Linked DNA regions of Canis lupus familiaris. The protein of the gene in region 2 purifies or fractionates together with the protein of the main gene of each other region. This does not show direct contact. Links are inferred from orthologs where the notes say so. Each region holds a gene or a part of one and is shown on either strand. Other genes may lie near its edges.

Region 1 (6,908 bases), on a different chromosome or scaffold from region 2:
AAAAAAAAAAAAAAAAAAAAAAAAAAAAAATGCAAGAACCAGACGTGCGTTACAAAGGAAACCAGAGGCCCCTCCAGCTCATGATCTTTTATTCTGGAGGTGTGGGGGGGTGGGATCCGCATGCTCAGGTGGGGAGGGTCCAGCCCAGCTCCTCCAGCCCCCCAGCCCATGCCTAGCCCCAATAAGTTACCCAGTTGCTTAGCAGCCCTCCTGAGTGTCTGTCCTTCTGCCCCACCCCAGACCGAGCTGACCTGGCTCAACACAAGGGCCGCTTGTCCCCAGCCTGTGGGCAGTGCCACATGGCAGGCTGGGGGAGAGGAGAAGCAGCTGGGCCACGCTCTGGGGCTGAGGGGGCAGAGGAGCCACCCCCTGGCTCTGAGGGGTCAGGATTTGGAAATCTGCCGCCCAGGCTGGCCAGGGGCCCAGTCCCCCAGCTTCGTGCCTGACGAGGTGGTAGTCAGGGGCGGGGGTGGGGGGGCCGCCATCACACCTCAACAGCTGGGTCTGAGCCTCGGCCCTGCCGCTGTAGCTGTTCCTCCTGCTTCATCTTGGGCTTCTCTGTCCGTGTATGCCACACCAGGACCTGTTGCGGGAGCATTTCAGTTAGAACTGGGGCCCACAGCATAGCCCGAATTCTCTTACCGCTGCCTCTACAGACATAGCATTAGATTCAAGTGTGCAGGGCAGGGGCTGTAGTGCCTCTAAAATAGGGCTTTCTCCCCTTACCCCCTCTGGGCTACATGGGTGCCCAGGTGATAGAGTGCAGGAGACCATTTCTTTCCCTGGCTCCCAGCTCCCCCTCCAGGAGAGTAAGCAAGGTTGAGTCTGAGCTCTGCAGGGTCCTTCCTTGTTCAAACAACTGTCCTTCCCCTCCTCCCCAAAACCTTCCTCCACATTCCCCATCACCCTTCCATATCCCAGAGCCAGGTTTCTACCCACCTCTAGCCCCTTACCCGAGTGCAGTTAGCTGCCCGGGGCTCCAGGTCCTTGGGATCCACAAGGTGACTCAGGAGACTGCTCTCCAGGTGGCCCCGGGGAGCAGTAGCATCAAATTGGGCATTGGGCTTAGCCAACAGCAAGGACAGGGCAACAGCAAATCCTGCCATATCCACTGGGAAGGGCCTGTTGGGCTCCCATGCCGTGTGGAAGCCCACAACCCGGCCATCCTGTACCTGAGGGCCCTCAAATCGCAGGCCGCCCACCAGCCCCACGGGCCACACTGAGACACCACGGGTCCAGCGCATCTAAGAGAGGTCAGGAGAAAAGAAACAGACAGGGTGGCCCAGGGGCAAGGGAGCAGCAGGAAGGGCCAATGGGCTCATTCTGCCCCACTGCTCCCCATCCTCCCACAACATCTTTCCAGAGAAACACCAGTAACCAAGGGAACAGGTGAAGCTGGCTCCACCTGCCTCCTTCTCCATCCCCACCCCAGGGCTCACCTCCTCAAAGAGTTCCCGGCTGTAGGTGTTGTCATCATCAGCAAAGTACACGACTCCCCGGGTGCCGGCTGGGGGGGGGTCCTTCTCTCCCCCGACAGCACCCCCTCCACTCCGGAGCCAGTCGAGGGCCCTGTTGCGTTGTTCTACACCACGGGGCCGAACCCAGCCTGGCTCACCCTCTCTGAGCCGCTGGGCCTTGGGGGTGAGGACCGCCAGGTGTGTGAAGAGGAGGCCCGAGGCAGCCAGCAGCCCTGAGACCAATGGGGTGGGGCCCTCAGCATCCTCCACCAGCAGCCAATGCAGCCGGGGCACCAGGCTCAGTGTCTGGGACAGCCGCACCAGCTCCGCTTTCTGCACCAGCCTGCAGGGGAAAAGACACGGAGGAGGGCAAGGGGTCGGGACCATTTGCTCACTCCCGCCAGTATACATAGCTTCTCCCGGGCCCCTTCTAGTATCCCCCACAGCGTTTGCCCAACCAATACCCAAATTCCTCTTCTTGCCTGTCAACTTCACACCGCACTCTCCTGCCCTGCTCCTGCAGCCCATGTCTGGCACCCGCCTCAACCCCAGGGCTCTGGCTGTGGGAGACTACAAGTTAAGGGCACAGGCTTTGGAATCAGACAGATCTAGGTTTGAATGCCAGCTCTGTAACTTAGTAGGTGAGACACTGGGGGAAATGGGTCAGATCTCCCCAAGCCTGTTTCCTTGGCTGTGAAAATGGGAATAACAGCACTTTACAACGATTTTGTCTTAAAGGTCAAAAAAAAATTTTTTTTTAAGATTTTATTTATTCATTCATAAGAGACATAGAAAGAGAGAGGCAGAAACACAGGCAGAGGGAGAAGCAGGTTCCATGCAGGGAGCCCAATGTGGGACTCGATCCCAGCACTCCAGGATCACGCCCTGAGCCAAAGGCAGACACGCCCAACTGCTGAGCCACCCAGGCTTCCCCTTAAAGAGCAAATTTTAACGACTTTCTAAAATACCAGGTGCTCTTCCTGGGTTTCCAGGATGAGAAATTTAGATGAGCCCTTTGCCTCATTCCTCTCCAGGAGAGGATTTATCTAAGGTTAGACAGGAAACTGGGAAGGTGTGGCCCAGTCTTTTCTAGATTTATCCCTCAATTGCTCTGCCTGCCGTGGGGTTGGGGCTGCGTGTGTGGAAGGGGACAGGGTCTAGAGCTGCCTGTGCTTCCATGGGTCAGCCATTTGATTCCCCTGAGGTGTTGGCAGGCTCTTTAGCTATAAACCTAAAACCAGGTTCCCCAGGGGTTTGTACGAAAATAAAGTTACATTTTAATTAAAAAACAAAACAAAACAAAAAAAGCCCTTACTTAGCACAGTGGCTGGTAGAGAGTGAACATACCACAAATCATAGCTGGGGTAACTGTTTCTAGACCCTAGTATGACGGTAAGGCCAGGCCCTTTTCTACTTCAATTAGCCTGCGGTCCCCAGACTTTCTCACCAAAGGATCCCTGAGAGAGTGAATTCATGGGCAAGCTCAGCACTTCTTTGAAACTTTGTTATTCTATCTTAAAATTTGTTAGGAACTGTGTATTCTATTTCATAGCATACCCCTGTTTTACTAGAGAAACAGTCATTTCCCCACAAATCTTTGAGGACTGATGTGGTTCCTTTATCCTGTCATTTGGCATGCCCTCACCTACAGAACACCCTCTAGCCCAGTGCCTCCCCAAACTCCATCAACACCAACATCCTGGCCCTGGCAGGCCTCTTGGGTACACCAGACCCCATACCTGGCATAGGTGGGGGTAACAACATAGATAGTAGGCAGGGCCTCAGGTTCAGGGGGCTGGGCAGGGGCAGGGGGTGGGCGCCGGAGATCAGCTTGCAGCTGGGAAATCCTCAGATCCTTCTGCCGAAGCTGCTCTGCTGCTGCGCGCAGGGGAGGGAGGCAGTCACATGGCTGACCTGGTCCCAGGAAGCAGGGATGGGGGCAGAGAACCACAGCATGTTGAGCATCCCAAAGGGGCAGAACGTTCTCATTCAACTCCTAGCCAGTGTAGGGGGAAATCTCCTGACAGCTTCCCCAACAGCCTCTTCCACACCTCGGGGGTGGGGGGGCTCACGGTCTCAATCAGCAGCCCTCTCCAACCACAGTCAAGTCCATCTGTTACAGCTTTCATTTGGATATTGAGCTGCTCATCCGCCTCCAACCCTTCTACTTGCTGATGCTCACGTTGCTGCCTTCTAGAGATGTAAAGAACAACTAAATCTCCTGAAACAGGGCAGTCTTTTAAATACCTGAAGATCAAGCCCTGAGCCGTCTGCGTAAGCGGCAGAGTTCAATCTGTTCCCGTGGCTGTGTGACCAAAGACTCATAAAATTCATTGATTCCATTATTGGATAAATATTTATTGGAGGCTCCTCGTGGGAGGCACAGCCTCAGGTGCTGCGGATACAGCAGGGAGGAAAGCAGACATGGTCCCTGCCTTCATGGAGCTTTCGGTTTAGTGGAGGAGGCAGGCACTGAGCAAAGAAACGAATTAGTAAAATTGTCACGAGCTGTGATAAGGGCCACGAAGGAGACGTATAGGATAGAGTATAAAAGAGAGTCCAGAAAAGGCAGTGACTCTAGCTAAAGTGGCCGGGGAAGGACTCTCTGAGGCGGTGACATTTGGGCTGAGACCTCAAGGGTGAGAAAGAGGCGACCGGGAAAGAAATGGGGGAAAAGCGCTGCAGCCAGAAGGGACAGGGTAAGCGCTTGAGAGAGCAACGCGCCTGGGCTTTTCGAGAAACTGTCACACAGCCCGTGCGGCCGGAGCGGAGCGAGCGAGTGGGGGAGGTAAGGGGGTTGCCAGGGCGGAGGGCCACAGGCCACGCGGGGCCGCGCGGACTCTGGAAAGGGGCCCGCAATTCCTCCGAGGTGCGGCGGGGGCCGCGGCGCGTCCCAGAGAGGAGAGCCCGGCTGCGGCACGGGCTGTCGGGGGCCGAGCGGGCTGCACGGTGCCTGCGCGGGGCTTCACCCCCAGGGCGGGCTGCAGGCGGCGGGCGCCCTCAGGCGGGTCCGCCGCACCCCCGCCCCGCCCCGCTCACCGAGCTGCACCAGCGCGTAGAGGAGGCCTGCGATCGACACCAGGAAGTAGGCGAGAAACACGTTCTTCAGCTTCAGCTTCATGGCCGTGCGGCCGCCGGCGCCGGAGCAGGCGGGGTCCGGGGGGAACCGACGGGGGGTCCCCGCCCCCCATCCGCCAGCCTGCAGACCCCGCCCCTGCAGCGGCCCCGCCCCGCGGCCCGCCTTCCTCACGCTCCTCTTCACCAGCTCCCGGGAGCCGGGGCCGCCGGCGCCCGCCCGCGCCCACTTCCGGTCACTCTGCACCCCGCCCCCCGGGCTAATTTCCGGTCCCACCGCCTAGTTCTGGGAACCACGGGAGTCGGTGACGTCACATCCGGCGTGGCGTGCTCGCGTGGCGGGCGGTCAGTCGCCTGGCGGGAGTGACTTTGAGACGTTTCCCTTGGTCTCCAGACCCAGATTTCATTTAAAAAAAAACAAAAAAAAAAAAGTATTTATTTATTCATCATAGACACACACAGAGAGAGGGACAGAGACAGGCAGAGGGGGAAGCAGGCTTCATGCGGGGAGCCTGACGCGGAACTCGATCCCGGAACTCCAGGATCACGGCAGGTGCTAAACCGCTGAGCCCCCCGGGGATCCCCATTTCCTCATTCTCATTCATTCATCCCTCAGCCACGGGACGCCATGGCTACAAATGCTTGTTTCATGAATGAATGAAATCTGGGACTTCTCTGTGCCCGGCCTGTGCTCTGGGCGTCCCTCACTCATTCCTCACTCTAGTCCTGAGACAGGTGGTATTGTCCCCATTTTACGGACAAGTAACCAAGGTCCACAAAAACATGAAACCGCCACTATGGAGTTTTCTGTGTGCCTTCGAGGTACCTGTCTCCAAAACCAGTACGCCTCCTGCCCCCCCCCCCTTTTTTTTAAGATTTTATTTACTCATGACAGACACAGAGGGAAAGAGAGAGGCAGAGACACAGGCAGAGGGAGAAGCAGGCTCCATGCAGGAAGCCCGACGTGGGACTCGATCCCGGATCTCCAGGATCCGGCCCTGGGCTGAAAGCGGCGCTAAACCGCTGAGCCACCCGGGCTGCCCCTGCCCCCCCCCCCCCCCCCCCCCCCCCCCGTTTCTTAAACGGATGACAATAGGAGGCAGGGAGTGGGGTGCCAAGGGAGTGCACTACGTCCCAGCAAACTAACTGGAAATATTTCTTGAGCTAAGAATTCCATGAGCACATTCCCTAACTACTCAGGTACAAGCCTTCCTGAGCATTTTCCCTAAAAAAAAAAAAAAAAAAAAAATCGTTTCTTATAATCTCTCAAGACTGATAAGTCACTTTACAAAATGGAGTGATCTACTTCCTGTCACTGAAACAATGGGGAATTTAAAAAAGTGATGCCAAAGAGAAGCAGCCTTTTTCATGAGAACATCTGACTATAAAGCTGTTTCTATTCAAGACGGACCCCATCAGCTCTGGTCACCACTGTTTAAGCCTCCTAAAATCTGATGACCTTGCTGGACTCCTCTATGAAAATATTGGCATCTAGCAAGTTGAGGAAGACGTACTCACTCATTTTGCTGATCTAATGAGGTTTATGCTGAAGCTAGATGAAAATGTCAGGCCCTCAGGCTTCTAAGGGTCTGTGGTTCAGGTCAGAACTAGAATCCGGACACCAACAGTTATTTATGGTTTATCTCTTTATTGTTTCTCCTTTTATCAAAACCTGTCACAGCTGGGGGCCAAGAGGAAGTAAAAAAAATTGCCACAAATATTCCCCCTTGTCCCCAGTCAGTCTTCCCCCACCCCTCACCCAGAGCTTCCCACCAACCCTGGGCACACATGATCATCTCCCCCCACCCTCAGCCTTCTCCCAGCAATAAATACAGGTGATCGTGATTCGATGAAACCAAAACAGATTTCTCCATCTTAAATGCCCCCAAAAGGGACAAAAAGGGGGCAAAAGAAGTTTAATGCTGATACCCTCTTCAGGAAGAGTGGAAAACTTCTTTCCCCCAAGGGACAGGGGAGATAGAACTGCCCCTGTCAGAACTGCAGCAACTCTAGAAGCAATCAGGAAGAGAAAAGGTTGGGATGGCAGGGAAAAGGATGTTCTTCAGCAACCTCACTCCTTTGATCCATTCATCCCTTATCAGGTAAGGGGTGGTCCCAGTGTTATCAGTGGGGCATATAAAGGGGAGGGCTGACAGAGAAGAATTAGGTGAAAGAAATAAAAGGAGAGAGAGCAGTTTGGCGGGGAAGGGGAAGGAGAAAAGGAGCCCTAAAGCTCACTGCCCTCATCTTCCAAGAAACGGCATCAACACACAAGAGGTATGAATGAAGAGCGTTTAGAGGAGATTCAGGGCCCCCAAAAGAAAGAGAAGGGAAAGCAAGGGCCTCATGGTCCCTGGTCTTCACAGGTGACTGTGC
Region 2 (7,881 bases):
AAAGTCATTTAGGATAAATAATCCCATTTCCTACATGGCTAAGTAGAAACTTATCTCCTTGGCCTTCAAAGTATTAGACAAATATGGCCCTAGTCTCCCTTTCAATTTTAATCCACTACTTCCCTATGTGTTCTACTGTCTTATACTCTTAGCAAACAATCCCACAGGATTCTCTTAACTGATTTAAATGATAACACACCACCTAGGCTAGTCTCTAATATCATGGGATCAACACTTTTTTCTTTCCCTCAGTGAAGCTGGGTGCTTATCAAGTATCAGGTAGGTTTGTTCATAAATCAATTTATGCCAGTTGTGTTTATTAATGTAAGAATATAATTTAATAAAGTATTATGAAAAGCAATTAAGGGAAGTGACAAGAGGAAAATAACAGCAGCGCTAATATTGAGTACTTGCTACCTGCCAGACGCTGTTCTAAGTGCTTTACATGAATTGACTCCTATAATCTTCACAAGAACCCTTAGAAGCTAGATACTATCGTTGTCCTTATTTTCTAAAGGAGAAAACTGAGCAACTTGCCCAAGACCTGTATAACTAATAAACGGCAAAACAACTTGGCTCCAGAGCTTAAGAATTTACTGTACTATACTGTGTGGACTCTGGTAGTTGTTTCTATGAAAACCAAGTTGAAAGCTTTAGAAAGACTAGATAAAGATGAATCACACAGACACATACAACTACTTTACTTTGTACGTCAAAGTAGCCATAGATATGTCAACAGATGAGCATGGCTGTGTTCCAATAAAACTATTTACAGAAACAAGCAGAAGGCAAGGACAAGGTCTGGCCCCCTCCCTGGGGCCCACACCCCAATAAAAGGCTTATTTTAAAGAATGGCAAAAGGATGCTTATGCTTTAAGTTAAAATCAAATGTTAAAGGTCTATGTGTAACTAATACCTGTGTGATTCCGGTCTTATTTTTTTTAATTAGCCAACTGTTGGCCCTAATTGCATCAAATAAGAGGGCAACTCTGGTCTTGTAAGAAATTTGTGCCTTCTCTCCTGCCTTTGTACTTTTGCCAAAGCCACTCTCTCAATCTGGAGAACCTTATTTCCTCATTTCCACTTGGAATCCCACTCATCTTCAAAGCCCATTATCTAATCCCACATACTCCTCCAAACTAGATATGATCTCTTCTTCCTTTGAAATCCTACAATAATTAATTTCTACTTATGGGAATTTACTTCGCTATGTTCCTCTCTATAATTATTTGTATACTTCAATTATCTCCACTGTTCAACTATAAGCACTTTGAGGACAAGAACAATGACTTATTCATTTTCCTATTCCAGGCAACACCCAGCACAGTGCCTTACACAGAGAAGGTTTTCAGACATTTCTTGAACTGTCTTCTAACATTTTTCTGTTTTCAGTAACTGAACAGAAAGAACACAATACTAACTCCCCTAAACCTATATTCAATTCATATTGCTATCACCACACCTATCATCTAACCTGGCCATAACTTTAAACTTTAATAGTTGTTTTTTTTTTTTAAGGTATTTATTCATGAGAGACAGAAAGAGAGAGGCAGAGACATAGGCAGAGGGAGAAGCAGGCTCCTTGTGGGGAGCCCAACGCGGAACTCGATCCCAGGACCTCAGGATCATGACCTGAGCCGAAGGCCAATGCTCCATGTCTGAGCCACCAAGGTACCCTAATCTTTAATATTTACAATGCATTCACTAGTACAGATTAGTATGAGTGCACCTATATATAAAAATTATCATCTCTATAGCAAGTTTGTTGGTAATTTGAAAGGAACTGTTAAAATTGCCACTTCCTGGTTAATCTGTGGAGGGAGTCCATATATTTTATAAATACATCTAAAAACTGTGTATTTAGGCAAAACAAACAAACAAACAAACAAAAATGCTTAATTCCAACCTGAGATCAGGGTTGTGCCTTCCTTACCTCTGTATCCCCAGCAGTACTTAATAGATATGTGGGTCTATTCCACTCCTTTTACAAAGTGTTTAGGGAGACTGGTCCAAGCTCAAGGTGAGTTAGAAGGACTGGGATGGGAATTCAGGTTTCCCGATTCCTGGTCCAATATTCTAATTCAGGATGACAGTGGCTTTTTATTTAATTTTCCCCTCAATTTTTAAAAAAGATCTTATTTCTTTACTTATTAGAGAGAAAGCACAGGTGGAGGGAGGGGCAGAGTGAGAGAGGGAATCTCAAGCAGAATCTCCTCCACTGAGCATGGAGCCTAATGTGGGGTCGATCTCATGACCTGAGCTGAAATCAAGAGTCAGACATTTAAGCAACTGAGCCAGCCATGGGCCCCAACAGTGGCTCTTCAATGTACCTTGATTACATTGAATTGCAATGTAATCCTGCAATTCAAATCCTGAAAGACTGAGGAAACCTCACCACCATCTTCCCCTTTCTCGGAACTAAGGGCTGTGTTCCCACAATGGTGACCTGGGCATGCAGATCTCTGGTATCTCGATTGCCAAAACGCTGATCCAGATTTTACATGCCTACCTATCTAAAAAGGCTACTTAAATACCCTGAATGAAAATATCCCGAACTCAAGAATTCAAGATAAGTACTCAAGTGATCTTTTAGCATGTGTTTAAAAGCACTATTCAGATGTTTCAGTGCTGGAGTAACGAAGACCAGTACTGGGGAAAGGGTTAGAAAGAGTGATGTCACTTAGGCAGTTTATTTTCCTTTCTTGAGAGGTAGCCAAGTTCATATCGTAAACAGAGGTGCTGCAAAGAGTTTCAGTTCTATTGCTTAGCCTCCAGTTGCATCACTGTTTTCACTGTCAGCCTTCATTGCTTTAACCATCGTAATCTGTAAAATGGACACAGGAAGCAGATAACAGCCCTGTCCCTCAGTTTAATGGAGGAATACTCTACCAATAAAAATCGGAGTTACACATTCTAACTATTCTATCCTCCTTTCCCGTCCCCTAGAGCTTTAAACGATAGTAAAACAATCTTCAGCTAACAAAAGAGATGAAGCAACCCTGAGAGTTCCCAGCTAGCACAGCATTTTTATCTTTCTGGAAGGCAAGAGCCACTGCTGGGCTCTGGGGATCACACTTGAAAAAATTCCTAAGAGCATGAATTAAGGAATGGGCATAAGGATGAATTCCATTACGCAGTCTAACAAAGGGTAAGAACCCACTATTACCAAGGCACAGCGCTCTGTGACACAGGTGACATCAAGGAATAAAACAGTCTCCGTCCTTGAGGAGCTTACAGTTTAGTAGGAGCACACAGAAAGAAGTAAACTATACTGGAAAGCAGGACAAGGGAAGTGCCGAGAGGTGTGAAGTTCTCTAGGAAGTGAATCACTACCAATCATCTCACTTTAATTTCAAGTGAACAGAGTAAAACATCCCGGTAAGGGCCACCTGTTGTACTAATCTGATCTGGAGAAGCCTTGGGTGAAAGAACCCCGTTGAGATCTACGGAAACGGATGCGACAGTGATACAGTACCTGCTCATCCAGATAGAGGGTAAACCTTGGCTAAACCAGGCTTACCCTGAGATTGTTTCCAGAATCCTATCAGCTTACCAAAGAAACACTTTCTATAGGATACAGAGAGGGTGGAAAGTGGAGACGGAGAAGTCCCCAACAACTGATGTTGACTTAGGTGTGTGGCAAGAAGACAGCAAAATCCAGACCAAGATTGGGACTGGGGATTTCCACTGCTGAAGTCTCGTCCTTTCCATCACTCACTCCCGGAACATCCCAGCTCTTCGGTACCCCACCTGCACAAGGAGGGGAATTCTCTCCAGACCCATGCCACAGTCGAGCGGTAACCACTCTGTAAGGGCGAACTGTGCTTAAGGGTCGATGAGGTTCTCATTCCCCCAGTCGGTCCCGATTCAAGAGACCAGGGATCCAGCGCCAGTCTGTCCTTTACTCCGTGCGACCTCGGACTAGTCATCCAAGTGCTTATTACTTCGTGTCCCCTATTGCAAGTTCTGGGGCTATGAGGAGGAGGCTGGGATTTCAGTCCGATGACCTCTGAGGTCTAAAAGCTTCTTGGCCAGCCGGCACATAGGAGCCCTGGACAAAGAGCCCGCTGAATAAACAGCGAGGTCGGCCACGGGGGACAAGCGGAAGGGACGACAGGCCCGTTTCATAGACGGGGAAAGTGAGGCACCGGACACCCAACCCCAAGGTCACCCCTAGCTCTGTCACTGCAGGGGGCCAGCCGAAAAGATCAGTTCTCCGGACCGCCAGCCCCAGGCCCTGTCTCCTTTCGCAAAGCAGAGCGGAGCCGCATGGAGGGTCCTGGTCCGGCGGGGAGAGGACCGTGCCCCAGCCGGAGGCGGGAGCGGGCTGGGGGTGCTTACCTTCCAGATCGACTCCCGCCGCCGGCGCCGCCCTCTTAGAACCTCAACCCGTCACCACCTCCACGACTCTTCGGAAGCCCCCTCCACCTCTGCCGGGCTCTACGTGTCCACGACCGCCACCGAGGCCGCGGATTCCCGCCCCCGCCCCGCCCCTGCCCCGCCCCCTGCCGCGTCGGCCAATCCCTGCGCGGGATTTCGGAGATCCCGCGGGTTTCACCGCCTCCGCAGGCTGCAGGAGCCTGACGTCACGGGCGCGCGTGCTCGCGAGGCCCTCCCATTTGCCTTCCGCACCCCCCCTCCCCACCTTCTCCCGCGCCTAGACCCCTCCCCGCGGAACAACCGTGCGAGAGTTCGTCCTGCCGGAAAGCAGCACGCCGCCGCGGCATTTCACGACAGCACAAGCCCCGAAAACACTCTTACTTCCCCCTCCACCTCCCACCTCCGTCCCCCGCCCCTCGCGCCCTGCGGCTGGGAGAAAGGCACCGCGATGTTCGGTGGGGGAGACGAGGACGACACCGACTTCCTGTCGCCGAGCGGCGGGTGAGTGACCGAGAAGCTTGGGACAGGGGGCGTAGCTTAAGGGAACTGGGCAGGTGGCTGGAGGGGTCGCTCTGGTGTCAGACTTCTCCCCGACTTCCGGGTCCGGGCCCCCCGCCACGTTCCGGAGCCCCGCAGGTCTCCAAACTGTGCTGTGTCGGGGCCCCTCGGTGCTGGACCTGGCATGTCCCTCGTCCCTCAGGAGGGCCCTGAGGTTCGCCTTTTGCTTTGTGGTTGAGTTTGTCCTGTGAGAGCATCTGGCTCAGGGCTTATAGGAGTCAGCTGGGGGCTCGTAGGAGACTTTCTCTTCCCCGTGGACAAGGCAGTGACACCTGAGAGTTCCCTGGCCCTTGTGGGTCAGCTCCAGCATCCTTGAGGGCCCAGCCCGGATGTCCCCTTTGGGCGCTTTCCCTTCTCCCACAGACCCAGGCACGATGCCTCGCTTCTTTTCCTCCTTATTCCTACAGCTAGGCTAGTGAATAACCCCCCTGTCCTTACTAGGTTATGAACCCTGGCAGAACAGGGACTCCTGCTGCTGCTCATCTCTGCCTGGCGCTCAGCACAGCGCATCGTGTGTGCTCCGGAAGTGCCTGTTGAGTGAGTGACAGCTGTGAAGTTGTCCTCCAAAGCTTAGAAGCCCTGCAAGAGACCGCTGCCCCCCCCCCCCCCCTCCCCGCCCTAACACAAACCAGCCTGGGGCACAGCTCTCCAACCCACAGGGGTTTGTCTCTTCCCATAATCAGGTTAGCCTTTTCCCTCGCGTTGCGTTACTAAGGCAGCTTGATCCCTTTGAAAGTGAGCTGCCAATCCTGATATTTCAGAGCCTTTTCTTTGGACATGTTTTTTTGTTTTTTTTTAAAATTAATTTATTTATGATAGTCACAGAGAGAGAGAGGCAGAGACACAGGCACAGGCAGAGGAAGAAGCAGGCTCCATGCACCGGGAGCCCGACGTGGGACTCGATCCCGGGTCTCCAGGATCGCGCCCTGAGCCAAAGGCAGGCGCCAAACCGCTGCGCCACCCAGGGATCCCCGGACATTTTTTTTTTTTTAACACATTTAAGAATGTACAGAAGGATGACCGAAACCCCAACATACACTCCTCATCTTACCGCTGAGAGGTCACAAAAATGGTTAAGCTGCTGTGCCTACTCTCCTCTCAAGTTGCTTCTAGTCCTGTTGAAGAGTTGATACAATAGTGGCCGTAATGACACGGCCCTCTTTTGGTCTTGAATACGATCTTTTGACTTAAACTGTGACTGGCGGTATATTACCCACCCTTACGTCCTTTTTTCACCCTCACCACGTTGTGCCACCCCGCTTTCACTTTAGGTGGTCCACACCGACTGAGTTCCACTTTGAGTTCTTTCAGTTGCTCAGTTATTTTTAGACTCTGCTTTGGTTCCTTTTTCCCTATTTCCACCCGAAACAGTCACTAAAATTTCCACATAGTCCAGCCTGCTGCTGTTGTCTGTGTAGTCACCTTTTTGATTGAGGCTTAACTCACCTATTTTTTTTTTTTTTAAATCTGATGAGCTAGCAAATAGATTCAGGTGAAAAATAAAGAGATGAACCGAATTTAAAATAAGCAAAAGAAGGACACCTGGGTGGCTCAGCGGTTGAGTGCCTGCCTTCTGCCCAGGGCGGAATCCCAGGGTTCTGGGATCGAGTCCCGCGTGGGATTCCCCGCAGGGAGCCTGCTTCTCCCTCTGCCTCTGTCTCTGCCTCTCTCTCGGTCTCTCATGAATAAATAAATAAAATCTAAAAAAAAGTAAATAAAATAAGCAAAAGAGCTATTTCTCCAAAGAAGATGATGTACAAATTGCCAGTAAGTACATAAGAAGATGTTCAACATCATTGGTTATTACAGAAAGGCAAATCAAGTCCGCAAAAAGATACCACTTCACACCCACTAGAATGGCTGTTTATCAAAAAGACAGTGTGGTGGTAAGGATGTAGAGAAATTGGAACCAAATACAAATTTGCTTTGTAAGGTAGTGAGTTACTGCAAATATGGCCATGCAAGCTGAAACTACAAAGTAAGCTTGATAATCAGTGGGAAAGATTACAGTTGTTTCATGGTCTTTTAAAAATTTTGGTTGAGACAAACTGTTGATTCCTTAAGATTTAGTGTTTTCTGTTTTCAAAAATTTATAAAGAGGGGCGCCTGGGTGGCTCAGTCAGTTAAGTACCTGCCTTCCACTCAGGTCATTTTTTCTGGGTCCTGGGATTGAGTCCTGCATCAGGCTTACTGCTCAGTGGGGAGTCTGCTTCTCTGTCTACCTCTGCCGCCCCCCACCCACTTCATGTGCGAACAGTCTCTCTCTCAAATGAATAAAAATAAAATCTTAAAAAAAAAAACTTATCAAGGAAAAAATCAAGAGTGCTTACCTCTGTGTGTACAGCTTATTTTGTGTGTGTGTGTGTGTGTGTGTACAACTTATGATAAGGAGTGGGGATTTCTTCTATGCCTTGGGAAATTGTCATATTTCTAAGTTTGGATCAGCTTCTGACATTTTATCCTTTGTGTTTTCAATGTTGTAAAATACTTCCAAGAGTTCCTTTAATGTGAAGTTTTTTGGTATGTCATTTCTTCTGGGACATTCATCATAACCACTTATATATATATTGATGTTTTCCCTCATTAGGTTCTTCTAACTGCACATTTAGCCTCTCAAACAGCAGTGACGTTAACAGTTCCACAGTTTACCATTTCTTCTATAACTTCATTTATACTATGACCTAAATTTCACTTCCAGCATTATCACATTAGTTTCTGTGCTGTACTTTTATCTTTGTTGGCCAATTCTGTCTTTTGAATATCTGTTTTTGTAAAATGTCATATGGGTTTATCACTGGGAGACAAGACGGCACCAAGCGCACCCTTTGCTCTCTGTCTCTGAATTGAAAAACAGGTGTGCAGTGTCCAATCACCAAAAGACTGAAAAAAGTGATAAAATTGTTCACTGTTCATGAGGGGTATCTGTTATGTAGTGATTTGTAG

Evidence for each region.
Region 1: the proteins of SLC31A1 (region 2) and B3GAT3 purify together in Homo sapiens (co-immunoprecipitation; 3 studies listed by BioGRID and IntAct, with this or other methods). This does not show direct contact. The link is inferred for Canis lupus familiaris from reciprocal best matches to the Homo sapiens genes SLC31A1 and B3GAT3.

What each region holds. Positions count from the first base shown.
Region 1 is NC_049239.1:54,537,523-54,544,430, reverse strand, and holds B3GAT3 (galactosylgalactosylxylosylprotein 3-beta-glucuronosyltransferase 3), read right to left. Parts: upstream 4,728-6,908; 5' UTR 4,579-4,727; coding exon 4,497-4,578; intron 3,372-4,496; coding exon 3,197-3,371; intron 1,801-3,196; coding exon 1,440-1,800; intron 1,245-1,439; coding exon 954-1,244; coding exon of another isoform or gene 942-953; exon of another isoform or gene 940-941; intron 584-939; coding exon 485-583; 3' UTR 73-484; downstream 1-72. UniProt on the Homo sapiens protein: Glycosaminoglycans biosynthesis. Involved in forming the linkage tetrasaccharide present in heparan sulfate and chondroitin sulfate.
Region 2 is NC_049232.1:67,997,285-68,005,165, reverse strand, and holds the start of SLC31A1 (high affinity copper uptake protein 1), read right to left. Parts: upstream 4,728-7,881; coding exon 4,646-4,727; intron 4,395-4,645; coding exon 4,342-4,394; intron 1-4,341. Other genes in the region: FKBP15 (FK506-binding protein 15), read left to right, coding at 4,829-4,881.